2 linked regions of the Lepisosteus oculatus genome follow. The protein of the gene in region 1 interacts with the protein of each later gene in a biochemical or structural test. Links are inferred from orthologs where the notes say so. Each region holds a gene or a part of one and is shown in the gene's direction. Other genes may lie near its edges. The genes, in order: dcn and tgfb1b.

Evidence for each region.
Region 2: the proteins of dcn (region 1) and tgfb1b form a complex in vitro, tested with the Homo sapiens proteins (3 studies listed by BioGRID). The link is inferred for Lepisosteus oculatus from reciprocal best matches to the Homo sapiens genes DCN and TGFB1.

The regions. Positions count from the first base shown.
Region 1 is NC_090702.1:16,389,296-16,405,500, forward strand, and holds the start of dcn (decorin), read left to right. Parts: upstream 1-7,594; 5' UTR 7,595-7,847; intron 7,848-7,886; exon of another isoform or gene 7,887-7,991; intron 7,992-16,205. UniProt on the Homo sapiens protein: May affect the rate of fibrils formation.
Region 2 is NC_090698.1:6,671,162-6,687,603, forward strand, and holds the start of tgfb1b (transforming growth factor beta-1 proprotein), read left to right. Parts: upstream 1-8,836; 5' UTR 8,837-11,732; coding exon 11,733-12,072; intron 12,073-16,442. Other genes in the region: cyclin-dependent kinase-like 1, read right to left, coding at 407-528, 1,661-1,828; b9d2 (B9 domain-containing protein 2), read left to right, coding at 6,800-6,887, 7,009-7,134, 7,941-8,254. UniProt on the Homo sapiens protein: Transforming growth factor beta-1 proprotein: Precursor of the Latency-associated peptide (LAP) and Transforming growth factor beta-1 (TGF-beta-1) chains, which constitute the regulatory and active subunit of TGF-beta-1, respectively.

The DNA.
Region 1 (16,205 bases):
GAGTAATATAGCCAATTCATAGAGGGGGATTATAAGGAGGCCATGATTGGTAAGGGGAAATTACACCCCTACTCTTTTCAAGAAACGCCCTGGGATTTTTAATGACCACAGAGAGACAGGACTTCAGTTTTACATCTCATCCAAAAGAGAGCGCCTGTTTACAGTATCCTACATCACTATACTGGGGTATTAGGACCCACATGGACCACAGGGTGAGCACCTCCTGCTGGCCCCACTAACACTCTTCCAGCAGCAACCTTAGTTTTCCCAGGAGGTCTCCCATCCAGGTACTGACCAGGCTCACACCTGCTTAACTTCACTGGGTTGCCAGTTGTGAGTTGCAGGGTGATATGGCATCCTATCATCAACCCACTATCAACCCAGACTCAACTCATACAGTAGATAACTGGAAAGCTGGGGTCAACTCAGTTTGTTTCAAATAAAATCTTTCATTGGTTGATGCACTTGAGACTGCATTTATGCAATGAATCAGAAACAGAATTACCTTTATTTGCCAAATATATTTCATGTACAAGGAATTTAATCTGGTGTACTTGGGTGCTGCAAAAACATTCTACATATACTGTACCATACTCACATAAGATAATAGAAATCATTGAGACAGTGTACATACTGTATACTGTAACTAGAAAGAAATCCCTAGGAAAAACGGAGTTCAAATACTGGGGAGTTCTGATTTTAATAGACCAGTAGCATCTTCCTGAGGGAAGTTAAGGAAATAGGTGGTAACCTGGGTGGGAGATTTCATCAGCAATCTTTCCTACCCACTTCTTTGCTCTGGAAGTGTACAGTGGAGGTCAGATGACAGCCAATGATTTTTTCTGCAGAGTGACCTACCTGATGATTCTAGAAGTTATGAAATATAGTGAAGGCCCATGTTAAGAGCAGCACCCACTGACCTGTTAACATGTGAAGTAAATCAATGTATTTGCAATGATGAATGGAATATAAAAGTAAATATTTTCCTTATTTTTAGGGAACACAGCTGGCTATGTAGAGTGGTTTTAAGCATTCCAATACACCTCTTTCACAATACCACAAATTACATATTTGGTACTTTTGAATGTAGTCATTATGGTACTCTGTATCACACAGTGATTTGTGTGGCTTGTGTTTAGTAAGGATGGCAATTTGACACAATACAGCCAATCTAGACACTGCATGTTTATTTTTTTCCATATAACAGCTGAGTATGTGAGACTTCCAACCATGAAACCAAATAAAGAGGAATTGCTTAAAGCATATAAAAGTTTTGACTATCATGTGAATATACCCTAAAGAATGTAAGAATTGGTAAAACTGATACTATTTCCACAGTTATTTGGGTTTTACTAAATTGATGTCTTTCATCTAAATTCAGCATGGAATCTCTTCACTTAATGCTCAGGGAACTTTTTTTCCAATAAGCTCTGAAAAATCTGTTTCCTGAATATACAACACTTAATGTATACAAATAAAATTTTCCATAACATAAGTTAAAAATCTTAAAAATCATAAGGATGGCTTTAAAAAGCTATTGTTGCATTTCTCTGGACATTTATTTGAACAACAAAAGTTGAAAATAATATCACCACTTAGCAAAACAAAATAAAAGAACTCTTAAACTGGTACATACTTAAGCTATGTTTCTGAAAAAAAGACATTTTGAATAGTCCTTAAATATCTGAAATACTAAACCAATATCTGTGTTATTGACAGGGCCCTGTCAATAACACAATAACACAGCTCCCTTGACTGCCCTCAGCAACCATCCACACCAGGTACTTTCCCTTGCATCACACTCATTCAAGGCCTCTCAGGACAGTTCCGGATCACCCAGATGGCATCTTGTACCTCCAGCAACCTTATTTACTGTATATCTTGCAGTAAATGCCCAGTTTCTCTCTACATTGGAAAAACAGGAAGGAGACTTGGAGACCGCTTCAGAGAACACGTCAGGGCTGTTAAGATTAAAGATCTCTCCAAGCCCACTGTTTCTCATTTTACCTCTGACGGCCACGACCACTCTAATCTCTCCGTCTGTTTTCTCAAAGATGGTTTTCCGAACTCATACATCAGAAAGACTACCGAAACCAAACTTATCCTGCAGCTAGGATCACACCTTCCCCCTTCTCTTAACGACAGACTACTATTCTACTAAATTTTCTCCATTCACTGGAAGTTTCATTTCACACCTCTCGACACCTATTCTGACTTCACACATCTTGATTGGCCTCTCTTTCTGTCCCCTGCTCCCGTCTCTAACCCCTCCTCCCTCCTAGCCTTTGTTCTCCCACTACATTACCTTTGCCTACTGCCTTGTCTCTCTCACACCTGAAGAAGGCTCCACGGCCGAAACGTTGTGTTTTCTCTCTTCTTTTTTTCAGCATGGAATAAATTTATTACTTGTTCCTTTGCAGCCTACGCATGCTGACGCAGCTACCCACCTGAACTACTAAACCAATATCTACTGAAGATATGAAATGGATATTGACTTCTAAAGTTTTATCATCTTCATCTGTAAATGTTGTGTTTGTAGTGGCATAACATGAACAATAGGATAAGAAAAAATCCTGTTGTGGATTAGCGTCATAGCATTTACTGTACTGGGATTTATTTTATTAATAATACTAAGAATAGATTGGTATAATGTGTAATGTGTAACTGTAAGAGTAACGCTAATAGACCCCCCTGCCCTCATTTTCGTGAGGAATGAGCTAGGAGGGTGCAGCAACTGTGAAGATGGGTTTCCATGAGGGGTACAGAAGAGACAAAGGAAAGTATATACTGTACTGTATATGAGTACAGAAGTATCTGACCTTTTCCCAAATTTCTGTAAAGAACTTAATTTCTACAAAATGTAAAACAAAATCAATATATATGTAATATGGATATTTCATTTGCCTACAAAATAATAGGAAGCATGTATTTGTTATGGTTAATTGATTTTTCTGTTTTATTTCCAATTTGTTTCTTTTCATATTTGTGTAGCACCTTTGATACCACAGGTTTACACATAGGAGAGGAGCAACTGCTTCTACCACTGAAACACAGCACCCATCTGGATGACACTCCACAGTTATTATGGGTCAAACAACACATCATGCAGAGAAATAAGAAATTAACTAAGAATTAATTAAGAACTTCAGGAAGGCTAGATTGTACAAGATCAGAGTAAAATGTAACCAGGACAATTGTGTTAAAACCCCTCTCATATCATCTGCAGGAAAATGTTTACCACCTCCAGTTACAGTACTAATATGTTCCAAGTATTATAAGTATTAGTTATGCAAGACTATAACCTGTAATATAAGGAAAATATGGACTGTAGTCTATGAGATGTCTGGTTCTTAGACTCAAAGATATTTACCATCGTTGCTGACGTGACATTGTAAATGTGAATTCAGACCCAACTGGTGTTACTCACAATCTGTGACATTCAACTTTAACTGGAAAAAGAATAAGTCAGAACTGAAAGGAAATCCAAGTTGGTTTACTGTAATCTAGATATTTGTACACAAATGAAACATACATACTATACCACTGAAATCCCCATGTCTAAACTCTAAATTTAAGTCATTATTACTCTTTCAGGACTCTCACAGCATTTAGTAAAAAAGCCACTCGCAGTTCTCAATTCTAAATGTTCTAACTTATATCTTCCACTTGTGTCCTCTTATTGCTCTGGTGGTTCATTGTTCAAGAATGCACCACATGGTTGTCAATGTCAAAACACTTTACTTTTATTACACTAATTAAAATTCTGTAGTTTCAAAACTCAAATCCAAATCAGCAACAATGTGGGTCTTCCTTTAGACAAAATACGAGTTCTATAAGCATTATAAAGATTTCATGACTTTAAGTAATTTACTATTAAACATTACAACTGTTTGGTTTTGAAGAATGTTGGACTTTCATGTGAAGATACAATATGGGTCACTGTTGAATGTGGATGTGCTGTTAATCAGCACTTTACAGATTCTTCATACAAATACTTTAAATGCTAGTCCTTCTTGTTGACATAGCTCACAAATAAGATTATCCAATGCCTTCTATTGCTGTGTTCATTTTCTTCAAAGATTTATTGTGAAATGGTTTTTAATTTTTGTAGGAAAGACTTACAAAAGTATTGGGGAGCATGGATTTCAACATTGACTGCTGTTTAACATCTTAAACATTGACTGTGATGTGTTGGGATGGTGTTTAGTGAAAGAATGAGTATAGGTTTCTCTAATGTAGCTCATGGCTCTTTTCCAATTTTCTTCAGAAGTTGTGTATTTTGGAAAGCTTTTTATAGATTTTTTTGTTTAAATCCAGTAACGTCAGATGTCTTAACAGAGACATGTCTCTACTAGCCTCGAAAAAATTCATTTTAGTTATTCTTTCTTTGCCTACAAGGCAACTCAGATTTACAATACTAAATTTTATATAATAGAAGGAGACATATCATTTTAATAATAAAGCAGACTGAGGTAAAAGATGCATTTATTTTTACAACATTCTAGGATGGTTTTATAAACTGTCAAAATATTTTTTTTCTAATAAATGAAGCAGATTAAAAATGAGATTGATAATAAGAATTGTCTTTCTTGCAAAATGGGCAAAGCACAAACAGACAAAATTGTATTATTTAAAAGATTCATTTTCAAATTATTTTCAATGGGAGAAAATACTAAGTGCTCTGCTATAACAAGTCTGCTCTTGTAATGAATTTCCTAATTAAAGACAACATTGTTTATATATTTAGCTATCCTTTAGGGGGGTCTACCAAGAATTGTATTTAACCAATGGAAAAAACTCATATTCTTCCAAACTTCCTCTTAATTTCTTTCCCGTGCCTTTTTTATTATGGTGACCACCAGCATTGTAACCCTCAGAGGTAAAATGTCTTGTTCAAATCAATGCAGTTTAATCCATCCAGATTCCTTTCAGAGTAACAATATGGAAAAATAAACATAATGCACTGTATAATGTCATCAAGTCCATAACTTCTACAATGTACAGTGACATAAACACAGAAGTTGACACAGCTTTTGTGGGCCTTAAGAAAACAGGACTCAATGCATGTTAAACTTGTTTATAGTTGCTTTTGGAAGAACATAGCACTCTGTACACATTTAAAACAGATGTGAGCAAACTACAGAATTGATAATAATACATAATGTATATCAGGTTCGATTTATGTTCTTTGAGGCTTTTTTTCATAAATTGCATTATCATCAACAAAGTTAATTTTTACTATGTAATACTATGTCAATTAAATATCTTTTAAAAATGATCTTCTGTTTTGTCAGGGACTTGACGAAATTAGTAAGACCCATATACTGTGTGTGTGGGCATGCACTGAAATGTGTTCTTATGCATAGTAGTACTGAAGAGGATTTGAAAAGTCACCTCCACTCTGTGAGGTTCTAGATAAAGTCCTTGGTGTCAGAAGTCAACAAGATTATAGAAGCTCCAGCATTCAACAACACAGGTAATCATATTACCACTTTAATGACAAGGGTGGACACTCAATAACTTAAGTATTTATGCTTTCAATTCCTTACATTCACCCGTTGCACACCCAATTCATCCCAGCAGAGGCCACTTTAACAACACTCTCCTGTCTGTCCTCTTAGGACCCTCACTCAGTACAGCTGTGTGTGCCTGTATGCATATCTTTTAACAATATGAAGACAGAAAGACATGCTGGCAACAATAATAATTTAAACTGGTACATGATGTTACATAAAGAGAGAAACCCTTGTTCTAGAAATATAAACCTAAGAGGTATCCTCCTCAGGGGAAGCACAAAAATCCTGCACAAGAAACCCTCACCCCCTACAAGAAAATGGAAGACCTGCCAATGCTCATTAACCGAACCACAGTGCATATACAAGTACAATTCATTCCTCCATACAAAATAACTCCTTTCCTAACTGAATCTTCCAATTCAGTGTTGCAGGGGAGCTGGAACCTATCCCAGCAAGCAGCAGGCACAAGGCAGGGTACACCCTGGACTGGCCAGTTCACTGGAGGGCACACTCACACCAATTTTCCCAGAAGCCTCTTAACCTACCCATATGTCTTAGGATGGTGGGCGGAAACCCACATGAACATGGGGAGAACATACATATCCTGCACAGATAGCACCACAGGAATTAAACCCAGGGCCCCAGTGCTGTGAAGCAGCAACACGAGTCACTGCACCACCAAGCCACCCAAAATAAAGCATTGATAATGAGAAATACACTTGCTGTGGATTTTGAATAAAGTAAATCCAAAATATCTGAAGATTTTTGAACAAGGGTTTTTAACATTCTACATGTAATTGGCACATTCACAATCAGGAAGATGAGGTATAAACATTAATATTTTTTTTATGTGGATCAGTATTAAAAAAATATTTGAAACATTAAAAATTAAAAATGTATTTGAAACAACAAAATTGTTCAACTGAAACTTAGACCTTTCCTTTGTATATAGATTAGGTTTTAGGATTTAGGTCCAGAATGTGGATATGCTGCTAAAATCTAGACTTTTTTATTCCAACAATTTGAGAGCCTGAAGCTAGAAGTACCTACAGTACATGTAATTATTTCATGCTTCTGATATGTAATAAGGCTATTAGACAACAACAGTACTTTAGAGTACTCACTTATATTCTCAGTTAACCTACTTTTCCTTGTTTTGTAAGATTATTTTAAGTGCATTTAAGAAGCAAAGTTCTAGTTAGTCCTGTTCCAATTTTTCCATTCTGTAAGTCCCACAGATGCAATTACCATTACTGGATTTTATTATAGATTGCCTTTGATAGTTTTTGGTGCCTGATATTATATTATATTTTATGTTTTCTAGAAATTAAAAAAAATTGAAAGGCTGATATATTTTTAAGTTCAGATAATGAAGTGACATTTGGGAATGTGCTGTGATGTTTCAGTCGCAAGTAACGCAAATCACAAATGGGTATAATAGAATTACTGTATTATTATAATTAAAGTAATTTCTTTTCCATTATCTGAATTAGTTTATTATCAACTTCTTATATGAAGTATAAGAACTAGATTGAATCTATAAATTAAGTAGAACTTGTAAAAATGTTTTAGTCCTGTTGAAATAGTAAGACTTTTAAATGAAATCTGGATCCTTTTACTATATTAATGTTAATTGCTCCTCTTAATCTAAACTTTATAGAATAAAAAAAAAACAATTATTGTAGGAAGTTAGCCAGGAGAAGACATTCAAATGAAATGCATCAGTATCTAAGGTTATATAATTACAATCTGTGAAAAGCTTTCCATACCAAAACCTGTCTTCTCTACTGAAGAAAGATGTAGCTGCTCTTATTCAATAGTTTAAACCAAAATAAACACAAAATAAAGTTAAGGGGGGAGCAGTCTTTTGTAAATGCTCACTGGGAGAAAAAAAAATGCTTATGGAGTCTGTTCTGAAGCACAGCAGCCTGGGATCTGCACAAGAATTAATTCCCCCAGCAAGGAGGGAAAGAAAACGTTGATAAAGTGTTCTTGGCTTTAACGTAGAAGACGTATCATTACCATATGATGTAGTGTGGGTGTCAGCCTGTGTTGTGTTCATTGACTGAGACTGGCCTCTTTTTTTCTTGTGGTTCCAATTGCTTTGGAAAAGAAGCACAGAGGGAGTTATCTACCAATTGTCATCCATTGAAAAAGGACTAACGGGACCCTCCCTTTCTCTGCCCCCACCTCCTCTTCCAGCTCCACACACCTGCATTGCTTTGGCTGAACACTTTTTTAGTGCAATTACGCCTCGGCCTTGAGAGCTGCACTTCAAAAACCCCCACTGGATTTGGGAAAAAAACACCCCCAAAAAACAAAAGAATACAGGTATGGTTTCTTGCAGTCAAAAAACATGTTAGGAAGGAGCAGGACTCACCATGCATAGGGTTTTTGGAATGCTGGTAAAACTGTAACTTCTTGCACAGAAAGAGAAGGAGAGCTTGCTCTGTTCCTTGTACAGGGAAAAAAGAGGTAGGATGAGATTTAAATAATGGAGCTGCTGCTTTGTTCTAATGTTCTGTGTTAGATTTGTGAAATGTTAATTGTGTGCAGATTTTAAAAACATTTTATTCAAGCACAACCACAGCATTGCAACAAAAGTAAATTATAAAGTAAGAAAATGGTTTATAGGTTTTTGAAAAGAGTGTTATAGATTTTTTTGTGCTTTTTTGTGAAAGGTTGTAGTTAAAGAAAGGAGAATACTTGGCTGTTTCGTGTTCCGAAGTTTGTTACAAATGCTAATCATAATCTCATGAGCTAGTATCATATTCCAGTGATCACCTGGTATGTAGAACCCAAGAGGTGGGGTGTTTCCCCTGGAACTGCTTAGGTTGTCAAAAGTTCAGCAAAATGAATTATCTCACTTCAGAGTTATCTGTAATATGTTTTTCTAGACGTGCTTTACTTGTGTTAACAAATGTGAGGCTTGAATATGCTGTTTTTATTATTTATTTCTGGCTTACAGTTATGTGAATAGACAAAAGGAAGCCAAATAGATATAGATATTGTATAAATCAATATTTGAATAAGTGGATGGTTTGTATTTTTTTATATAAAAGTTATTTTCTTAGTATTGGCTACTAGTATTGTATTGATGGAAAGCCTTTTACAGTTTTAATTGTTGTTTTTTTTCATGTATGCTTTTGGGATCTTTAAACTTGCTTTTTTAAATAATCCTTTTTTTGTCATTGTTAGAAATGCTGAATTAGGTGTGTCTCATTCATCCAATTATGCATCCTTTTTCTTGTCTCAATGTGAATAGTTTCCTTTCCCTTTTTTTACAGCTTCACTCCCCTAAATTGTTATGCCCCCAAGCAACCAAAAATAAAAGGAGCAGCTGCTTTGAAGTAAATGAAAAATACCTGGCACTGGTGCCACATTTAATCCTTTAATAAGACAGCTTCCTTTTATTAAAGTGTGCCAGGAAGATAATTTCCTTTTTGAACACAATAATAGTTTTCTCCAATAAGAGATGCATGCAGCACAACATTGGAATTAAGCAAAGCTCCCTCCATATGTGATCTGGCAGCACATGAGTTACATCTGGAAGGTGACTGTTTTGTGGAAACAAACTGCATAGCTCTGACCATTAATTAATCTGTACTTTAGCCAGAAAAAACAGCAGAAAAATGTAAGATGTCTTGCTGAAATAACAACAATTGATCAAACTGAGTGCATTGTCATAAGGGCTTATTTTATAATAAGGTCAATGAGCACAGAAAACAAAATAACTTGAGTTTTGTCTGCATCTACGTATTATTGACTCCAACAGCCTTAGCTTAAGAGTCAAGTACAAGTCTATTTAATTCACCTTTGTAAAATCATAGCCCTGTAGTTTTTAATGTTCAATTTAATACAGAGTTGGCTACTACATACTGTTTTTCATAATGCAATGAAAAGCCTTAATATCAATGTAGAACTCTTAATAGACCTTAAATAAGCTTAAATTCAAACATCTGTTAGTCATTGCTGTTCAGTCTTCACTCATTCTTAACACAAAAAGGTTATTTTAAAACTAATAGTAATATACAGTACATTTTATGTTTTGTGATATGCTGATCAGTTGTACTGAGGCAATGCCCCTGTTCCAACAACTGACCACCCCATCTGAAATCTTATTTCCAATGTCCATTTAACAGCCTTTCTCGCTGACTGACTGGGGGAATATCACATTGCACATTCATAGAAACCATAGCTCCACCATGAATTATAAGCCAAGGGCTATGTGTTAAAAAGATTACAGAGATACTATATCATGAAAACAGTTACTTTTTTTGTTTAAATGTTTTATTTCACTCTGTATTACACTTCAGATATTGTTAGAAATATGTTCATACCAAACACAGCAGTTTTAATTCCAACAGATGTTTATTTTCTCTACAGAATGTTTTCCCAGTGGGTGCTGTTGCAACACTCCAACATTCCAATACATTTACATTTGTCATTAAATTATGCTTACTGCATTTCCTGAGTGCTGAGAGTGTGGCTGTGTGATCTGTTTTCATTTTAACTCTTAAGCATACCTTTGGCTTGTTGCCATTTCTTTTCCATGGGGATTTTACTTGGCAGAATGCAGAAAATGTACGCAACATATGGATACACCCAAGCTGACGTACGTGTAGTATGGATACAGAGTGTGGAGCTCAATTACACTGCACAAGTAGTGAATGAACAAGTAGAGGTTATTGTCAGGCTGTGGGAACAAAATGTTGTGCGTATATATCACCTTTTTCAGCTGCCTTGCACTTTTGCTTTTTTTTTTTCATTTTCAGCAAGGGATTACTGCCATATGGAGACTGCCATATCATAAATTACAGCATATCTCCAATACTGGTTGGATGTTTCTCCAGTGAGAAATACAGGAGAAATATATAATGCCATTGATTTTGCTAGATGTCCATGTGGATGTCTGTGGAGATATAGCATCACACATCCAGCAGCAGTATACCTCTATACAGATAAAGAGTTACAAGTAGCAATGAACTGCTTACATGTATGCTAAATGGAGCTGAGATCCAGGGATCATGGTGGTAAACAGTTGGAAGGGTCCTTCTCATGTTCCAAGAACCACTTTGCAATCCCAACTCTGATGTTGAGGTTGAACAACTAGAATAGGCCATCACACACCATGTGGTGTTTCTTATGCAGCTGAAGTACACCACAACATTTACAAATCAATAGAGGAGCAGTTCCATAAACAGCACAACATACCTCAGACCAAGACATTTACACCAGCAGCCTGAAGGGGAAATAAAATGTAAATGTCTCCTCCCCACCTTGCTTTTTTCGTTAGTACTGAGCTTTTTGTGGGCTTTGTATGTTATCAAAGAGAAGGAGTTTTTGGATTGCCACAGCACTTTGAACATCCCATGATGTAAGATCCTAGAATATAGTTGTTATTGACTCTGGCATCTTTTGGATACAAGTGCCTATTTCTTCTTGCAGGGTTTGAAATCAGACATCTCTCCCTTGCAGACTGAATTATAACACAAGAAGAGTTCCATAGCAAAACATTCTGCCCTGATGTGTTTAGTTGAGGTCCAAGGAACTCACCCAGCTATTCCTTGCAAGACGTTCTGATAGCACTATTAAATAGGGTAAGAAAACTAGATTCCCACAATCTTCTAATGAAAAGAAGCATGTACTGCTTTGAACAGATTCAGGGGCAACTATGATCTTCTTCAAATTTGGCAACCAAAACTGGACGTAGTGTTCTAAAAAAAGTTCCTGTATAATTTTAAAATAACTAATATTATGTTGAATTCTGCACTTTTTACATGTGTTTTGTCATTTTGGTGGCCTTGTATATTAAATTATAGAAAGTACATTGTCTGTATGAAGACAGCATGGGTGCACAAAACACCTAATCCTTTTTTAAAAGCAGCTCACTCAATCTGACTAAAACCCATATATACTGTATATTATGTAATACATATTTCTATAACTTGTAAGTCATGATCTCCACTTGCTAAAATAAACACTACTTGCTAGATGTCTGTCCTGTCATGGATTATATGGAAATCTATTTTAAAAATTCTGCTACTAAAGTTTTTTTCAACTTTTTTATGTGCTGTTCTGTCCACTTTGTTTGCAAATTTGTCAGCTGGATAAACCCTGGATGTTACACCAGTCTGGAACAAGACACACACAGAAATGGATATACTTACAGTACAACACATAGTTTGAGTAGGTAGCTGTGTCAGTATTCGTAGGCTGCTGCAAAGGAACAAGTTAAGGTTTATTCTATGCTGAAAAGTGAAGAAAAGAAACACAATGTTTCGTCTGTGGAGCCTTCTTCAGGTGTCACACTTGTTCCTACTCACAATAGGGCCAATTAACCTACCAGTATGGCTGTGGACTTTGAGAGAAAGCCAGAGCACCCAGAGGAAATCCAAGCAAACACAGCAAGAACATAAAAACATCACATAGATAGCACCTCAGGTGCTTAATTGAGCCCAGGGCCCCAGTGTTGTGAGACAACAATGCTAACCAATGTTCCATCATCCCACCCTGTTAGAATCTACATAATGTATGTAAATCAGAAAATGCAGTGGCTTAAAAATAGATCTCCATGTTACTCTACTAATTACCTCATTTCAGTTAGATTTATTTCACTATATTTTAAATCTTAAATATCTATTGTATTAATTTTCCAATTGCTAATTACAATTACAGTGTTTTGATTCAAATGGGAGTCCCTACCTGTATATGTGTTTCATTGATGAAAATAGGACAAACCTAGAAGCCATACCAGAGCTAACATTACAGTTCCTGGAATTATGTGCATTGCCCCCATTAATTATGGATCTAAAAGTTTAATGTGGGTGTTACCTCCCCATTCTAGGGCATGGGAATTAAAATGCATTTTAGACATGGGCTAGATATGTGCAATGTCCTACCAAATGGTCCCAGGATCCAGCTAATAACAATCTCATAAAGCTCACACACAACTTGCTCTTGTCTAAAGTGTTGCTGAAGGTTCGTTGGAAGGTTCAACTGTGGTTCAATGTCATGCCGAGAGATTCTGTGGCAGCTTTGTGCTCAACATGCTCAGTGCAGAATGTCACATTAAACTTATAATTGTCAACCTTATTGTCCAAATGGAAGAACCACTGTTCTTATGGGATCTGAACTGAGGTTCCACCTTTGAAAGCACTCATTATTAAGCCATTATTGAGATGTATTTGATTAGAATATGATTGATACAGTGGTGGTTTATGTATTGTATTGAATATATATATACTGTATATATTTAGATATACAGTATACATTTTCTAGATATTGAGTGTGGCATGGCTTGTTCAGAAGTTAAATAATGCAGAGCCAAAATTGAGCCTTATGGAAAACCAGAACTGAAAGTTCTTTGCATAGTGACTTGAACTTAAAAACAGTGATTATGAATCATAGCCAGCTGCTATATCACCCTGCAACTCACAACTGGCAACCCACTGAAGCTAAGCAGCTGTGAGCCTGGCTAGTAACTGGATGGGAGACCTCATGGAAAAGCTAAGATTGCTGCTGGAAGAAGTGTTAGTTGGAGTAGGAAGCACTCATTCTGCAGTCAGTTTGGGTACTGTAAAAATACTGAAAGGGTATTTTTTCTGAAATACTGGAAAAACACCATCCTTCCCAGATGAGACGTAAAACTGAAGTCCTGACTCTCCATGGTCATTAAAAATCCCAGGGCGTTTCTCAAAAAAGAACAGGAGTGTTAACCACGGTGTCCTGGCCAAATTTCCCCCTGGCCTATACCAATAATGGGCTCCTAATAATCCCCATCTATGAATTGGCTTCATCACTTCTCTTCCCCACTGGTAGCCAAGGCAAACAAATCCAAAGGGAGTCCGTAGGGAAGTCCAGGGTGAGCAAAAGTCCATAGCCAGGTAATCCTTCCATAACAGACGAGACAAAAGTTAAAAGTTAGAGCGGGATCTGGTGAAGGGTCGGGGAAATAAAAGGGTAACGGGGCCAGGCTCTCCAAACCCCGGACCAAGATGGTCAGGACGCCATTTTGAAGCCTATGCCATTAGCCACTCCTGGACTCGCTGGTAGGGAAGCTTCCGGGCGTCCATCTTCCAAAGCTAAGCCCAGATTGTTAGGAGCATCTGGCTTTTATAGGAAGGGGCTGGAACAGGAGGCAGGTGCAAAGAATGAACAGAAACAATAAAGAGCCGGAGAGCCCTTAAGAGGAGGGACTTACGATCGTGACATATATAAGTGTAAGGAATTATTATAGCCAGTATTGTCATGGGATAAATATTATAAATGGATTAAACTGCAAAGTTTCAAGGAGGCCCTTCCTCCCACCATATCATAGGCAGAACACAGTCGCTGTCTGGAAACCTGTTTCAGGTTGGGTACACAAGGCTTCTACTTGGTAACTGCAGCTCCTGTCTTGGCAAAATGTATCTTGCTGTTTAGGAAGGAGACTCTCAATAATGTTGCACTTTCTAAAGACGTGCATATTTCTATGACTTTAAACACTGTGTAAAGAAATGGGACGATAGTTAACAGGGACACCCACAGGTTTACTGATCTTAGGAATTGCTATGTCAAGGCTTTGTGTTATTCTTCAGACACTTTCCCAGTACTGTGCACTTCTGATATTAGCTTTGCAAGCCCTGCACTTTCTCATTATCCTGGTTCTTGAGAAACTTAGGAGGGACCTCAACACTTATTTTTCAATACATTTGCTATTCTTTCTTTATCACTTTCTATAAAGCCATTGCTCTCCTTTACATTATTTACTGATATAGCACTTACATGTCCTTTTAAATGATAATTTACATTGCACCGTATTCAGTTTGTCTGGGTCCGGTTCCCTTTTAAAGACATTTTAAAGTGATTAAATCCTAATGTTGTTCTTAATTGAGTCACTATATCAAGTAGATCACCACTTTCTTCTCACTTCAAGTTGTTAAAAATTGGTATCAGATAAATAGAGAATTTATCTTGCGCCTCTAGCATCATTCTTTCTGAAATATAAATATCAATTCTCTAGTGATTTCTTACATATCAGACCCCTTTGTACGATTGAAAAGAAGAAAGGTCTGTGTTGATGTTTTTGTATTTACAAAACACGCCTGTATATTTGCAGATATTTGAATAAGTGCATTGGCCATTAATCTGATATCCATTCAGTGAAACACCAAAGGCACATACTGTACAGCAACATCCACCCTTTTTTCTCACCTATACAAACTTTAAATAAAAATTACACTAGGGAGAATGTTTGGTTTGCAAATACTGGATTATCAAGTCCTTATTAGGCAAAATATATAGAAATAAATAAATAGAATAAAATCAAATAAAAATCATCAATAAAATCATTGGTGGTAATAGCAATTTGGAAAAAAAACAATAGTAATATTATGTAGAATTTTACTTAACTATAAATTCTAAAAATTCTAAACTTTATCTTACACTTTTACATAAAAAATAATTACTTATAGTATAATCAGCTTTATAGCCCAAATTATTTTAACTCATTGAAACCTTATATACAGTACACTTTAAAGTTTTTCTTTTACAGTATATTATATATAAACACAGATATGATGCATACTGTGGTATTTGAAATAATGCCAGACTACCTGAATAAGTAGTTTTGATCTAATATCTTAAGTATATGGTATTTGGATTTGTACAACAGTACATATTTTATTAATTATTTATTTTGATCTTTAAGATGAATAAGACAGGTCAGTGTCTTCCTCTTATTTGAAACCCTTTTAGGTTCAACTAGTATGTCTTGAAAACACAGAATTACATCCTGTCCATATGTTTCTATTGTTTCTATCACCCTTTTCTATTGTGGCCATGAAATCAAATGTGTTACTAGTTCTGTCAGTAACAACATGCTTCTGCCAACTTATGCTTGTCCCGGAAGTGATGTTCCAGTGAATCTTGTGTTTTCAGAGTTGATGTAATCAAAAAGATACTCTTCTTTTCTGGTGAAAGTTTACTTTAATTTGGAGTTAATTCTAATTATTTCACATAACGTCAGAAGGCACATAAATCCTAAAATATTTTCTTCTAATCTGGTGATTTTTTACCACTAACACAAAATGTAACATGACAGGAAACAGTAACTTTTACACTTACTTAAAAAGATTTTCAAGGTTTATAAAAACTGATGAAGCTATGCTGTAACCATATAAAAGTTTTCACTCTAAAGCTTGTTTTAATTTAATCACATTATAAATATTTGAAATTATGTTGGATAGTTTTCTGTTGCAATCATTTGAGATAAATATATTTTCACCTTTGACATCTTTTCCATAATGATACAATGGAATGTTTAACATTTTAATCTATTGAGTTGATTTTTTCAAATTAATTTCTAACTTGCTAATTGTAAATTACAAGGTTGGTAACTGGTATTAACTTTTGAGTAGAATCTAGAGGCCTTTATCAAACAATTAATGGGCTATGTATTTAAAATTGGTGGAAGGGTTAATGTATTGAATACTTGTACAACTGCACGTTTTCTGGTAAGAAAATATCTGTTCATTGCATGTCACGTTAGTCATGAATAAAATACAGGTAAAATTCCTTTTTAACTCTCAAGTCATGATTTCTTAGTGAGTAGACTATGTTGACCTTCAGACCAGACTGCTGGCAGCCTTCTATTTTAGATATGCCCTGGTGAGAGCTGTTAATCTTCTATATACTGTAGTACAGATC
Region 2 (16,442 bases), on another chromosome or scaffold:
GCAGACAGGCAGATGGACAGATGGACAAGTGGAAGGACAGATGGACAGATGGATGGACAGGTAGAAGGACAGGGAGGGAGACAGATGGACGGACACACTGGCAGATGGACAGGGAGGTGGACAGGCAGATGGACTGACGGGTGGACACACACACAGGCCAGCGGACAGATGGACACATGGACGGATACACCAGCTGATTGACAGGCTGACGGACAGACAGATGGAAGGATACATTGGCCGATAGACAGGGAGGTGGACAGGCAGATGGACAGACGGGTGAACAGGCAGGCAGGAGGACAGACAGATGGACAGGCTGATGGACAGATGGGTGGACAGGCAGATGGAAGGATACATTGGCCGATGGACAGGCAGGCGGGCTGGAGGACAGACAGATGGACAGGCTGACCCGTGGGGGTGTCGGTCCAGCTCCGTCAGCACCGTCTGCTCACAGAACTCAAAGACCAGGTGGAGCCGCCTCTTCCTGCGGAAGACCTCAAGCAGATTGACCAGGTTCACGTGCTTCAGCTGCTGCAGGGGCAGACGGGGAGGAGCGCTTGAACACACACTTCGCCCAGGCACACAGCTCACAGAGCACAACAGCAAGAACATAAGCTGAAACAGATGCCCGCAAAACCAGCCATTTACATTCACCGTGACTTAACTGAGTAAACAGGAGCTCTTCACTTTTATTAGCGCACAGAGCTTCACATACGCAGCACAACTCAATACATTCTTCCACATTCAGTCAGGTCAGTCTGTGTCCAGTGTCTATGGCCAGGCTGTGGTCACTGAGCCTGTCCTCTCTGGACAGTCAGGTCAGTCCGTGTCCAGTTTCTATGGCCAGACTGTGGTCACTGAGCCTGTCCTCTCTGGACAGTCAGGTCAGTCTGTGTCCAGTGTCTATGGCCAGACTGTGGTCACTGAGGCTGTCCTCTCTGGACAGTCAGGTCAGTCTGTGTCCAGTGTCTATGGCCAGACTGTGGTCACTGAGGCTGTCCTCTCTGGACAGTCAGGTCTGTCTGTGTCCAGTTTCTAAGGCCAGGCAGCGGTCACTGGGCCTGTGTTTAATCAGGGTCTGTTTCACCTTGCTGTCTCTCACCCTGGTCAGATACTCGGCTGCTGTGTGTGATTGTGTTGACTGGGTGGGTGAAGCTGTGTGTGTGATTGTGTTGACTGGGTGGGTGAAGCTGTGTGTGATTGTGTTGACTGGGTGGGTGAAGCTGTGTGTGATTGTGTTGACTGGGTGGGTGAAGCTGTGTGTGATTGTGTTGACTGGGTGGGTGAAGCTGTGTGTGATTGTGTTGACTGGGTGGGTGAAGCTGTGTGTGATTGTGTTGATTTGGTGTGTGAAACTGTGTGTGTGATTGTGTTGATTTGGTGGGTGAAGCTGTGTGTGTGACTGTGTTGATTTGGTGGGTGAAGCTGTGTGTGATTGTGTTGATTGGGTGGGTGAAGCTGTGTGTGTGATTGTGTTGATTTGGTGGGTGAAGCTGTGTGCGCGTGTCTGGCCTGAGCAGTGTGGACCTTAGGCAGGCTGCTGTCGGTGTGGCCCAGGACAGTGAGCTCTTGCCTGGACCCAGCTCAGCAGGGCTCTCTCCCCTCTCCACCTCTCCCGTCACTCTGCCCTGCCTGGCTCATCCTTCTCGCCCCCTCCCTGTACCTTTAACATGCGGATTTCTCTCAGGGCAATTTTCCTGATAACAGGGTCATCCTCGGATTCCACAAACCGCTTCACGGCCACAATCTGGCCCGTGTCCCGGTTCCGGCACTTGAACACCACGCCGTACGAGCCCTCGCCGATCTTCGCCAGCTTTTCAAACTTCTCCATGGCAACTGCACGGAGGTATGAGACAGGTGTGGGTAAGGAGGCAGCTGCCAAACACAGAATGAAAAGACCACCATGTTTCTAATCTGCACTCATCTGCTTCTGAACTGGAACCCTGAAATATTGCTAATCTTTCAAGTTGCATCAGACTGCTCGACTGCACTGGGACTGTAACTCCTATTGTAACAGGACTGTTCCACTGTACTGGGACTGTAGCCCCTACTGTAACAGGACTGTTCCACTGTACTGGGACTGTAGCCCCTATTGTAACAGGACTGTTCCACTGTACTGGGACTGTAGCCCCTACTGTAACAGGACTGTTCCACTGTACTGGGACTGTAGCTCCTATTGTAACAGGACTGTTCCACTGTACTGGGACTGTAGCCCCTACTGTAACAGGACTGTTCTACTGTACTGGGACTGTAGCTCCTACTGTAACAGGACTGTTCTACTCTACTGGGACTGTAGCTCCTACTGTAACAGGACTGTTCTACTGTACTGGGACTGTAACTCCTATTGTAACAGGACTGTTCTACTGTGCTGGGGCTGTAGCTCCTATTGTAACAGGACTGTTCCACTGTACTGGGACTGTAGCCCCTACTGTAACAGGACTGTTCCACTGTACTGGGACTGTAGCCCCTATTGTAACAGGACTGTTCCACTGTACTGGGACTGTAGCTCCTATTGTAACAGGACTGTTCCACTGTACTGGGACTGTAGCCCCTACTGTAACAGGACTGTTCTACTGTACTGGGACTGTAGCTCCTATTGTAACAGGACTGTTCTACTGTACTGGGACTGTAACTCCTATTGTAACAGGACTGTTCTACTGTGCTGGGGCTGTAGCTCCTATTGTAACAGGACTGTTCCACTGTACTGGGACTGTAGCCCCTACTGTAACAGGACTGTTCCACTGTACTGGGACTGTAGCCCCTATTGTAACAGGACTGTTCTACTGTACTGGGACTGTAGCTCCTATTGTAACAGGACTGTTCCACTGTACTGGGACTGTAGCTCCTATTGTAACAGGACTGTTCCACTGTACTGGGACTGTAGCCCCTATTGTAACAGGACTGTTCTACTGTACTGGGACTGTAGCCCCTACTGTAACAGGATTGTTCTACTGTACTGGGACTGTAGCTCCTACTGTAACAGGACTGTTCTACTGTACTGGGACTGTAGCTCCTACTGTAACAGGACTGTTCCACTGTATATTACTTTAGTCCCCCATTGTAAAAGGTTAAAATGACATATCCTTACCTACACTGCAGTGGCCACTGGACATATCCTTACCTTGTAAGGTGATTATATATATTTTTTTCTGCGTCTACGTTGTCTTGAGATTAGAAAGCGTCTGGGCGACTCTTCATTCGTCCTCCTCGCTCCCCAGTGCAGATCAGTGCGCGCCTCTTACGGTGTGTGCCGGCTCCGCGTCCGTGTGTTTCTGTTCGTCTGTCTGCGTATCCATCTTCCCCTTAATGTACAGGGAGTGTACCCGTGATCTCGCCAGTCGCAGTATGCTCATATATCGGCTTTCAAAGGAAAGAACCTCCTCAGCCCTCTGGCTGCTCTATGAACGCCCGTCCTTCAGCTTTGGCGTGGGAGGCCGTGGCGCGCCCGCGTCGTCTTGCGGTCGTGCCGCCGATCCTGCGTGGGGTTGTTTTTTTGTTTTGTGCGTGAATGTATTTTCCCTTCCGCGAGTGCGAGTTCCGTGTTTGTGTTCTCGTGTCGGCTGTGTGTGTGTGTATGTGTGCGGTTGTCCTGTGAACCACGCAGCGCCTTGGTTACGGGCCGCTCTCATTCCGCCCGAGTGCTTATTTATTTATCGCGGCGCCTGGTCCGCACACTCCGCCGGCCGTCACCTGTTGAAGACAGCGGCGGCCCGAGCTCATTTCTCGGCTGGGCGCTCTCAACCGCGGCTGCCTACCCCTGCATTTCCACGCGAAGTTTTTTCACAACCCCCCCTCTCTCTCTGTCCTAACTCTTAAACCCCAGGCCCTCGGCGAAGCGTGTGAAAACAGTCTGCTCGTCTCTCTCCCTCCCCGTCAATTCAGGGGCAGCTTACGGGAAAATAAGTCAGCAACAGATGTAGCTGCAATTTGGGTTGTTGTAAGCAGTACCGATAGGCCAACTAGTTGCTGTAGCGACAGCACCAGGACCAGCAGCAGTATTAGTAGTATACACAACAGTGTTAGTACTAGTGACCGTAGTAACTGCAGCGATAGTTTTAACACCTGTAGCGGTGGTACTCACGGTAGCCGCAGCAGGAGCGGTTGTAGCAATAGTCGCTGTAGTAACAAATTGGCAAGAGTGTACACGTACACTACCTTTATTAAGCGCCTTCTGTCCGAAATAACTTAAGATTTTCAGGTTTTACACATGTATTTTTAGTTTTCATATTACTTCTGCATAACCTTTACAAGTCCACATTATCATAAACCTGTATCACCGACTCGGATACGGCGAAAGGAGTCGTCGCAGGGCTCGGAAAGTGGCACCAAGGCTCCGCCTGCCGGCAGTGTTAGACGATTGATTGTACCGATTGTAGTTAACGGCTTTCGACTTGTTACTGCACAGTTCTGCACCAACTGTTCGTTTTCCTTATCCTTGTAATGTAGTACACATCAGTACCGTTCCGCGCAGTGTGTCAGAACTGTACTGTTCCACTGCAATACTCTTTATGTGTGCTAGTTATAAGATGAATGGAGCAATGACACTTCGTACACACTCAGGGGAAACCAAGGCATAGGTCCAGGGCGATATTTCGAGCAGGTCCGTCAGTCTCCACGCACGCCTGCGTGGAGAACACGCACTGGGGTGGGTCATTAATCGATAAAGAGCCCACGGGTGTTACCTGCAGTAACTCATCGATGGGAACTTGATCCTCGTGGTACCATTTGGTTTTGGGCCAGCTCTCATTGATCGATTGTTTGGTCAGATCAGCTCACTTTATTTTACCTGTAATTACAGTACTTCCCGGACGGCGGTTCGACAGCGTCCCGACTACCTTAAAAAAAAACCCGAGCCCGGGACCACGTGACATCAAGGACCAATGGCAGAGCCCGGTGTCGGGTTGCTAAGGAAGTGGCGGGGACTCGCCTCTCTAGCCCTGGAGACCGCCGCTTGAATGTAAACAAGGAAAGTTAATTTGATTAATGAAGTAAAACAAACCTGGAAAGCACCGGGAGGATTGAAGGTAAAATTTCGGTGTCTTCGGGATTAAGTCGTGAGGTGTCTCACCACTCTATAAAGCTGTTTTTTTATATTACATGAAATACAATCTCGAGAGCGTCTTTACCGCTTGGAACAGCACCTGCATTGTTTACTATCTGGTAACTGGACAGACTGGTCTAGGTTGTGCCAGATAACGGAACGGTGTGATGTTACAGTAGAATAAAATGTTATTTCACACCCTTTTCCAGGTTTCTGGAGTTATTATTTTACAAGGATCAAACACCTGATTTTTTTCTGCAAGTAACTTGACGCGCCTGCCAGTAGGAAACAGCTCGTATTTCTATCACAGTGCATAGTGTGTGATTTATTAACAATGGGTTCGTAACAGCATGCTATAAAATGCGTTAAAACGTGAGTTAAGAGCATCCTACCACAAGTGCCTTCCCCTTTTCACTCCCAACTTAATTTCAGAGTGATTAAAATTAAATTGAATCATTATTTTCCAGTTTGTAACAACAGAGTAGCCTGAAAGAAGCAATTGTATCATTAATAGATTGAAGAATGCAGCTTTGAGGATGCATCTGCACTGAATCTGAGCAGTGTGATAAGAACATAAGACAGATTAGACATAAGAAGATCAGCAATAATATTATAAAGATTACATTACAAAAGAGGAGGCCATCTAGCCCATTTGATGGTTATTAATTGATCCAAGGAGCTTATCCAATCGTTTTAGTAAAGACGTCTGTGAAATGGTTTCAACAACAAGGCTGGGTAGCTTGTTTTGTTCCCTACTCTTTGGCTAAAGAAGCGTTTGTTCTATGCTCTTAAAGCGTTTCAGCATAGTTTACATACAGTACAGTGTGTGTCCCCTTGGTCATGTTCCATGGTTTAATCTGCTGGTATCCACTGGTCCCCCTGCGTGATGGTAATGTTTTTCCAGACATACAGACCAGCACTTCAGTGGGCTCAATATGAGAGCAAGTTAATTAAGTGAGTCTGTGAATTGATCATCCAATGAACGTTCTTCAAAGGTGAAGGAACTGACTCGGGTGTTTAAAATCCTCCGGGCCATTGAGAACATCAGCCCATTGGATGTCTTCAGAATCAACAGAGCAAAACAAGCGAACAAGTGGAAACGAAGGGGAAGCACATTCATCTTGTTTGTCACCTAACAATTATATGACCTTTATTTATCACCATTGTTCCCTATGCATGTAATAGAAATCCATTGGAATGTTTCACAAGGTTATGGGTGCTCCTGTTCTAAAATAACCCTGGCCAGTGCCCACTGCAGTGTAGTCCTCTCTCACATTGCAGTATGGTGCTCTTTGCCTCTGTGATCTGATTTCTTCCTCAGCGCAGCAGCCTTTAGGTGAGGTATGATTTCCCAGGTCAGATCGTTAGCACTGACAGCTGGTCTCGGTGCCGGAACAGTTCAGGGACCAGCCAGCATTGTTGTAAGATGAGGGTGTCCGTAAACCTGTGACGAGATGGCAGAATAGATGGCTATTGCTACAGGATGATGCTGATAATGAGAACAATCTACCTTACCTGTGAAGTGTATTTCGTATACAGTATCATTCACTTTTTTTGCTTTACTTGTATACAGGCTTAAAGTTTTGACAGTACCTGTATTTCATTTATCTTTCCAGTGTCAGTGTGAAATAGTGTCCTGTTGTGTCTTGTGTCTGCCAGTGTGTAACGGTGTTCTGTTGTATCTTCTGTCTGCCAGTGTGTAACGGTGTTCTGTTGTGTCTTGTGTCTGCCAGTGTGTAAGGGTGTTTCTCTCTCAGCAGGATGGCGGAGCTGCACATTATAGGCCAGATTGTGGGGGCCAGTGGCTTCCCTCAGAACAGCCTCTTCTGCAAGTGGGGTGTCCACACAGGTATTCACCAGCCATGATCAGGCCTACCTTCACTCAGTTCTAAACCTTCAATGATTTGATGTCCTCCCTTATCTCAGTGAGGACACAGTGCACGTGCGTTACAGTGTTGTGTGTGTTGCAGGAGGGGCATGGCGCCTGCTGTCAGGGCTGAGGGAAGGGCAGACACAGGTGGACTCTCCCCAGATTGGTGAAGTGGCCTATTGGAGCCATCCCATAGACCTACACTTTGCCACCAAGGGACTGCAAGGTACTTCCTCCTCCTTCTCTTTCCCTTTTCCCTGTCTCAGTTGCTTACCTCTCTTCTCTTTCTGTCCTCTCTCCTGTCTTTCCCCTTTTCTTCCTGTTTCTCATTCTGTTCCTCTCCTTTCTCTCTCTGTTTCCCCTTTCTTCCTGTCCTCTCAGTCTCTGTGATTTGGAAAAAAACAACATAAATGTTGCCCCACAACTGTAATCATACCTTACAGCACATTGTCTGTTCATCTGTCGAGTTAACTCATTTTAATGCACATCTATGTAAACCTTCTTCCTTTGGTTAATGGTTTCTGCGCTGTATTTAACAGTGAACTGAAATGGCCCAGAGTTTGATTTATGAATGCATAAAATTGCCATTTGTATTGAGCACACTTTTTTTTAAGATCAATTTCACCTTACAGTATGTTGTCTCCAGCTCAGAGCTGATGTTTCTGTACTGATGTTTTCAGTGTGTCCACACACTTTGCTGTGGGCCTCCCTTTTACTGCAAGAGGACCGCATCTTTTCACATGTGCTGTGCAGTGACGTCAAGCATTCTGAACTGCAGTTTCAGCAGAGTTAACCCTTGCTCTTTGTTTCTTGGATGGATGAAGACAAGCTAACGTTGACTCCCACTGTCAAGGGTTATACTGTAGTTCCTATGAAAAACGAGGGGTTTGCAGAATTCAGTTATGGGGAAGAAATATCCATCTGGGTGAATGGAAGACTTGCACTGACCTGGATTTTTTGGGGTTTGCTTTTTGATTATTTTTTTTTACTCCATCTGGAAAGAACAGTTTGACTTGAGCTTTGTCTCTCCAGGGTGGCCCAAGCTGCACCTGCAGGTGTGGGACCAGGACTCGTTTGGCCGCTGCCAGATGGCTGGCTATGGGTTCTGCCACGTGCCCTCCAGCCCTGGGCACCACCGACTGCGTTGCGGCACCTGGCGGCCCCTGGGGCCCTGGCAGGACAGGCTGGTGCAGACCTTCGTGGGAGGGGGGCCACAGCTGCGCTCCCCTGACCTCATCTACACTGGGGCAGACCGCTACAGACTGCACACGGTGGCTTCGGGCACCGTGGACCTGGAGCTGAGCATCGTCTTGAGACACTTCGACCGCTACGGAGTAGAGAGCTGAGAGAGGAGGAGAGGCAGAAGGGAAGCGCAGGGGAAGGTTTGAGAGAGGGTTTGGTGTGTGGGGCGAGAGGGAGAACGAGAGAGAGAATGGGAGGGGATGTGAGGACTTGAGGAGGCCAGCAGGCTGCGAGCTGTCTGCAGTGGAAAACTCAGGACGGCTCTCAGGTCTGTCCAGTTCTGGACCTCAGCAGGGAAAGAGGGGAAACAGTTGCTGTGTGTGGACAGGTATCATGCTCTTTGTAAGTATGGCTCTACCCCTGCTCTGCCACAAGGGGGCAGGCTGAGTCTTGGAATGGCATCTCTCATACAAGTTCCCATTAACACGTTGACAGTCACACGCAATGAAACTAATCCCATTCTTTGTTAAAATGAATTTTTGTATTTGAACCCAGCGTGACTTTTGTATATTTTTATATATGTATTGTGTTTTAGAGTTGGAAACCATTTTACTTTTTTAAAACGCATATATTAAAAGTTTGGTTTTCCATAGTTTCTCCGATGTTTAATTGTGGGTCAGTAAATGAAACTATGAGGTCTTGTGCCTCTTGTTTGAGGGCTCTTGTGCTGCTGCTTCTTACCTTTATCTTCTTCTTTGCCATCTTTCCTTTCATCTTTTTCCACTTACTATATATCATGATTGTCATCTTTTCTCTTTACTAACCTGTTTTTATTGTTTTGAATGATTGTATTCCTCATAATTGTCTTAATCTTTCTGCATGGTTCTTCTGCGTAGGGCAAGAGAGATGTGTTCTCTTTCAGTATCTCGGTGTGGGAGGCTTGTTTGTGCACAAGTGACAGTGTTTTTGTTTGAGTGCGAGAGTGTGTACTATAATGTGCGACTGAGTGGATTTGTGTTTCACAGTGTGAGTTTGTAACTCATTGTGTTCTTGTATCCCCCTGTTTCAGTGTATCTTGTCTCCTGTTGTTCTGTGCCGTGTGGGGTAGCCCTGTGGAAAAAGGAAGGAAAGATGTGTTTGAGGTCTTTGAGAGGACATGTGCAGGGGAAGATAGTGCAATAGGAATTATCTATGTGCAGTAGACTAAGAACCACACTAATAAACTTCCCCATAGTATTTCCTGGCTGTTGGACTTATTCAAGTCACGGTCAATCGCTACTGCGCAGAAATGTGTTATCTGATCACTTTGTTTTAGTTAGTTCACTTTGCCTGTCCGTCTGTCAGTGTGTCAGTCAGCCGGTCAGTGTGTCACTCAGTTAGTGAGTCAGTGGGTTATTCAGCTGTCTTGGTAGCTACTCAGACTTCCAAGTCTTTCTGTATGAAGAGAGAGCAACACTCTCACAGTCGGAGAAGAAACAGATGTTCTAGCGTTGCATCCGTTTACCCTCATTTCCTGGGCGGAGAGTTTCTGGCTCTTTTAGAGCTGCAACAGGAACGAAAAAAATTAAATAGAGGGAGGGAGGGTATGGAACAGCCCTCACTAATCATTTTGTCACTAGCAAGCTCTGACAAGCAGAAGTAGTTGAGGAGAGAGAGAGAGCGTGAACAGAAAAAGAAAAGTGGCTGAAAGAGAAAGGTTCCGAGCTCTTAACAGAGAGCCAGAGAGCTGATAAACGGGGGGGAAAATCAGTTAAAGAGACGAAAAACAGACAAATCGGGACACAGAGTGAGAAAGAAAGACTACGTTCGGATCAAAACTTTTAATAGAGGAGCTCCGAATGAACACTTACTACAGCTAGCACTACAACTCCTGCTGAGACACACAGACTGGTTTGAGCTGCTTGATTTTCATACTCTGTTCTTTTCAAATGTTTGTGCTTTAGCGTCTTAAGGTTTATTTTCAAGAAATTCCCTTTAAATATTTGTTTCACCTTTTTTGCCTTGAAACGGCTCCTCTGTTTGTTTGTTGAGTTTTATTTTTGGAAAGAGCACGGCTCTTCGGCTTGGTTGGAAGGAAGGGAGTAGTTTCTTTTGCCTTCTTCCAGTTGCTTTAATATTTCTAATAGGGTCCAGACAAGGAAAGGTGGGGGAGGTGGTACGTTGGGTTGTAATTGAGAGGTGCTCTGGGCTCTGGCTGCTGTGTCAGAGGGGTGCCTTGCTGTTACTGCTGCTTTTTTCCAGGCACATTATTCGGCTTCCTCTGGGCTGCCTTCTCCTACGCTCTGTAACACCTCATCCCCTCTGGGCTCCTCTCACACTCTCTCTGCGCATACTACAGGGAAGAACTGTTATTTTGGAAAAAAAAACAGACTTTATTTTTAAGCCTCTGTGTTTTGTTTTGAAGCAGAATTGAAACTGCTGATGGTGAAATGAGGAGTACCAGTTTCCTTTAGATACATTACAAATTTTTAGCTTATTGAGCTTTTATATATATATATAAATGTATTTATAGTCTTTTTTAATTTATTAATCCCAATTCCCCCCCCACTGTTTTAATTCAGTTGCTGGTAGCGGATTATTTATTGTCTCAGAACGTGTTCTGTATTTATTTGTTTATTTGAAGAGAACAGCTCTTCTGTGATAGTGTGCTGCGTGTGTTGGCTCTCTTGCTCTGTCCTTGTACCTTTTGGTGAGAAGGCTGGTCAGCTTTAATATCTGCTACTGCTGTCTGAAGCGGTCTGATCCGGAGTGTCACCGGCAAGGCAAGCTAACAGATCTGTCTCAGGAAGTCCGGGTCATCTGAGAGTACTTCTGTTTTCTTCTTTACCGCTTCAACTTGATCGTGGAGAGGAGGAGGGGAGTCACAGCGAGAAGGAAGGAAGTAGATAAAGAGAGACTCTAAAACGAACGAAGAAAGAATTAGCAGTGGTCGGGGTAAAAAACGAAAAAGATGAAGGGACAGAGAGTCAACAAGCGTGAGGGACAGAGAGCTTGAAGCCAAGAATACAGAGAGTAAAGATTGGGGACGAAGAGACGAAAGCAGAGAAGGGAGACCCCTAGTTTCCAGGCGGGGAGACCAGAGCTGAGCCCCCTCTCCATTGCAGCCCAGCTGTGGAGAGAGACGGCTTTTCATAAAGGAGGCCACAGAGGTAAGACGACCGTCTCCAGTTGTCACAGGCAGAGAGGCTGATGCTGAGGACACCTGTAGCCCTAAAATCCTGCATTGTCACCTGTGCTGAGACAGGGAGACTTGTGGCAACGTGCTGTCAGGCTTGTCAAAGAGGGGTAGTCTCCTCCCTTGCCTTGAGACACGGGAGTTCTCTTATGTGAGGCAGTAGCACTGGACGCTTTTAGAGGGAAGTCCAACCACTACACAGAGCCTGAAGATAACTCAACAAGACTTCATCTGTTTAATTCCTCCCCCATCTCAACGTGCTGGACAACCGAGGGCTGTGTAACAGGACCGCCAGAGCACAACAGGACATCAATCAAGCAGTTTGTAGCCGGCTAGACTGACACTCAAACATTTAATTAATACACAGGTTACATATACCAGAGCAGGATTTCCATAAACCTGCGTTGTGCTTGAGTAAAAGACAGCGAGGACACTGTCGGTACGTTGGGGCGCTTGTTCTGGTCACCATGAGATCGGACCGCTTGTTGTTCCTGGGCCTGTGGTTGCTAGGCAGCCTGAGCCAGGTCTTCGCCCTGTCGACCTGCAAGCCGCTGGACCTAGAGCTGGCGAAGCGCAAGCGCATCGAGGCGATCCGGGGGCAGATCCTGAGCAAGCTGCGCATGTCTCGCGAGCCCAAGGAGGAGGAGCCCCCCCTGGAGCCCGAGCCGGAGGTGCTGTCGGTGTACAACAGCACCAAGGAGCTGAGTGAGGAGCAGGCCCGCCAGGCTGAGACCAGCCCGGCGGCCCAGCACGGGGAGCAGGAGGAGTATTTCGGCAAGGAGGTGCACAAGTTCATCATGAAGAACAGTGAGTACCACACGAGCGAGCACCTCGGGACACACACACGCACTGACGCCGGGACACTCGCATCTTTACTCCCTTCTCTTTTAAATCTTTATATCTCACTTGTTCTTGGTGTCTTGGTTTGTGGTCGTGTTGCTTTTCAAATCGGTACCTACTAATTAGCTGACAGGTTTCTCCCTACCATGACACTGTGCTCTTGTGCTTAGATGACATCCCAGTGGTAATTGTAAATTGGCTCTTTACTATAAGAGTATCTCGGGCAGACAGTCCCTAACCTCGAGTCCTCCAGGAATGAGAATGAAAGCTTGGTCAACTGGCACCAGTATCGATAACCATTCTTCTCTTTGGGTACAACAGCTGACTGGAATAAAGTCTTTGGGTTCTGAGGCGCAGCCGTACTCTGGTGAGAGTCTGTTAGAAGGAGGAATAGTGCTGGTTTCAGGTGAGACAGCAGAGTTTCGAAGTCATAACCTCAGGTCATTGGAGATGCATGCCTTAACTCTGGCCTGTAACTGTGGCCCTGGGCACCTTGCGTCCTCTCCCTGGCCTGTATCTGGGATGCAGGACATGTGCCACCTTCTCTCCTCCCCGTCTGTAAGACACCATTTGTCATACACTTTTGCCCCGGCCCATATCTGGAACGCTGAGCAGGGATCATTTTTAGTTTTGTGGTTTATTTCGTTTTTTGCGATTTGGATGAGTTCCTCCTTGAGCTTTTTCTGCGGTGTTCATGCTAGTGTGTGCTGATGTAGGGCACAGACCTCATGCTGTCTCAGTCCTGGTTTGTGAAGGGAAAGGCCCTCTCGTTTCTCTAGTCATGCCTCCAGGCTGTTGTACACAATTGTTGGGCAGCAACAGACACTAATATGTCAACGGTCTTTGTTGGCAAGCAGTACCGCACTGTTCCGCTAGTATCCATGGCGTTTTTATGGCTGGGATGTTTGAGTTGGCTCATTATAGTGTTGAGTCTCCAGGTGTGAGGTGAGCGTCTGTCTCTCTGTGGCTGTCTACCTGTTTGAGTGTCTTCCTGTGTGTGTGTGACACTTGTCCGCACAAGAGCCTCCTGACAAGCATGGTGGGACGATGTCCCCCCAATGTCAGTGGTTACGTTTTACGAACCAAGTGGCTTCTTCTTCTAAACCTACAAGCACCAAAACATGTTCGTTTCAGGTCTGCTTTCACCCTGTGTGGAGTTTCGTTTGAATAGAGTGTCGATTTCTTAGTAGGACTAGAAGGAGAGTCAAGTGGAAGTCCCCACGAAGACAGGAACACAGCGTATATCTGTGCATGTGACAGTGTGTGGGCATCCATTGATATCAGTGTGTGTGTCTGTTTTGTACATCGTTAGGCCCATGTGATTTAGGTTTACTGACACACAGCAGCTGTAAAGCAGGGAGGAAATTAACAGTAGACTTGTTCCACACACCCACTCTTACACCTCCCCTCCCCCATCCCCACCTCTCTGTCTGTCTGTCCTTCTCTCCCTTCCCCCGTTTCACTAACAGAATCCTGTTCTTTGTGTCATTCAGACAGCCTTCTGTATTCAGAGACTGTGGAGAGAGAGGAGAGGAACTCTCTGGACTGAAACTTAATAGCAAAAAAAGAAAAAAGAAACACTGAAAGTGGAGTAAAAGAGGGTCAGATGTAAAGAGATGTGTGTGTGTGAGGGAGAGATGCCCCCCTCTCTTCCTCCCACTTTCCCTCATTCTCAGGGCCAGAGTGCCGGGGGGTTTTCCTGTAACTGGATCTCTGTACTCACCACAGAGCAACAGCCACAGCCCCTCTCACTCCCTCTCGCCTCTACCTGCATGTCAGTGTGTCAGTCAGACAGGCAGCATGTCAGTAAGCCAGTGTGTCAGACAGACAGCGTGGAGGTCAGTATCTCAGTCAGCCAGTGTGTCAGACAGGCAGCATGTCAGTCAGCCAGTGTGTCAGACAGGCAGGATGTCAGTCAGCCAGTGTGTCAGATAGACAGCGTGGAGGTCAGTGTCTCAGTCAGCCAGTGTGTCAGTCACACAGCGTGGAGGTCAGTATCTCAGTCAGCCAGTGTGTCAGACAGACAGTGTGGAGGTCAGTATCTCAGTCAGCCAGTGTGTCAGACAGACAGTGTGGAGGTCAGTATCTCAGTCAGCCAGTGTGTCAGACAGACAGTGTGGAGGTCAGTATCTCAGTCAGCCAGTGTGTCAGTCAGACATCGTGGAGGTCAGTGTCTCAGTCAGCCAGTGTGTCAGTCACACAGTGTGGAGGTCAGTATCTCAGTCAGCCAGTGTGTCAGACAGACAGCGTGGAGGTCAGTATCTCAGTCAGCCAGTGTGTCAATCAGTCAGTGTATCGGGAAGGAAGAAGGCAGTGAGGCAGGCACTTCTATTTCTGGAGCGGAGCTGGGCTCAGTGACTCCAGATAGTTATATATAGCGCTCTGGAGGAAGTCAGGTCCACTATCACAGCTTCACACATCTCTGTGTGCAAACCTCCCAGGCTTCCTACAGGGGAAAGAGAGATGAGGGGATCTATGGTCCAGGGTTTGTGTCTTCAGGTTTTACAATTCAACATTGTCAAAGTCAAAGACAAATGCACTCATGGCTCAAAACTGAAAAAGACTCAACCCTGTGTGATAATGATATATATCTGTGTGTAGCGCATATCCCTTTCATACCCTATAACCCAGGGACATGTGCTTCTCTTTGGGGATCTAAATGGTAGGACAAGTACTGAGTGTGAGTAAGTACATAGGGAAACAGCCATGTATGTGGATGGTACCACATATCCACCACAATGCAGAGTAGTAACTATGACTGTGTGTTGAATGGGCATGAGAACTGTCTTGGATCTGTACAATATTCATAGATCAGAAGGGTCTCTTCAGGTTGGTTCACCTATTGTTCAGTTGTTGGGCCAAGTGTAGTTGTTTGTGCCATCACCGACATGGACTCCTCTTTTATCAGTGCATTCACTGCCAGACCAAAATATCCCTTTTGGGCTACAGTCGAAACTCTGTTTTCCTGAGCAGAACCAAGGAACATACAATCACACACTACAGGCTGGAACACAGGTACAGAGCTCCAGACAACCTAGGAGTACACAAACACACCTTGTAAACCATACTTTTTGGATGGCACAGAAGACCAGCAAACAGCAACCAGTTCTACAGGAATGGCAAATCCTATTTACCACAGACAACACCTGCACGACATGATAGGTGAATTAATGTTTAACATTAATGAAATATTCCAAAGAGCATCAATTAAGGCACTCATTAAGAATTCAGTCCAAAGTTAAAAGAAAACCTGTTTGACAATGATAAAAAGGAAAATATCAAATCAGAAACCTCATCATTCACACAGCTCCGATTTATGCCTCTGGTACTGTTTTTAAATATTACAAACAAACTCTGAAAGTCACAAAATGAAAACACATCTACATAACCCTCACTCTGGAGATTCAGTAAATCAAAATCAGGTCTGGGAAATGTGGAATAGTTTAAGCACAACAGAGCCTCAGGAAACATGGCAAAATACAGAATGGAAATATTTGGGAAAAACTGCTTTGGAAACCTTTATGAAAAAAAATCCACACAGAGGTTTCCAATCTTGACATATTGTCATTCAGGAAAAACTAAAAATGCTTCAGCCGTGAATGAAAAACAACCAAACTTTGCAGAGCAGTCACCTTGCAAGCGCTCACAGAGCTCCAAACACCCAGAAACCCTTCACTCTCAATAGCATCAGAACCGAGAAGCTCAAACACAGCAGGGTTGAGCTGCAAGAGGCCCTGCTTAAGATACTGAACCTCAGTGCCGAATTTCCTATTAGGCCTACGAAATGTCTAGGGCCTACGAAGGAGAGAAACACTAGTGACTAACGAAAAACGGGTTGAAACTACATGCTTGCGATCGACTCTAGGTGCTCCAAATCAATAACCCTACGGTATCTAGCGGCTGTTCTAGATACTAGAAGTATCGAAGGGATGGTCGCTCGACTCAATCACACAGTTTAGCATGAGAATAGTTGAAAGTGCATCATGTCAATCGACGTCATTCAGAGGGGACGTTCACCCCTCTTTTTGCACGTTTCGGAGTGAAAGTGCCAAGGGCCTACGAACCCCAAAATCCCATCTGTTGAGCTTGGCACTGTGCACAGCTATGCCCCTGACGTCTGGGACCTTTTATCTCTTTATCAAATTTACAAAGAGGAGATAAAACCATCCCCATTCACTTCTAAGGCATGTGGAAACGGAGGAATGTGGTGAAGGTGTTTTCGAGTATTATCAATACCGAAAAGACTGGCCTTCAGTACTGAGCACAGGATCCTGAGACACTGGGAGTCAGATTGACTTCCTTCAAAAACACTACATTACTGGCCACATTTAGCCCTT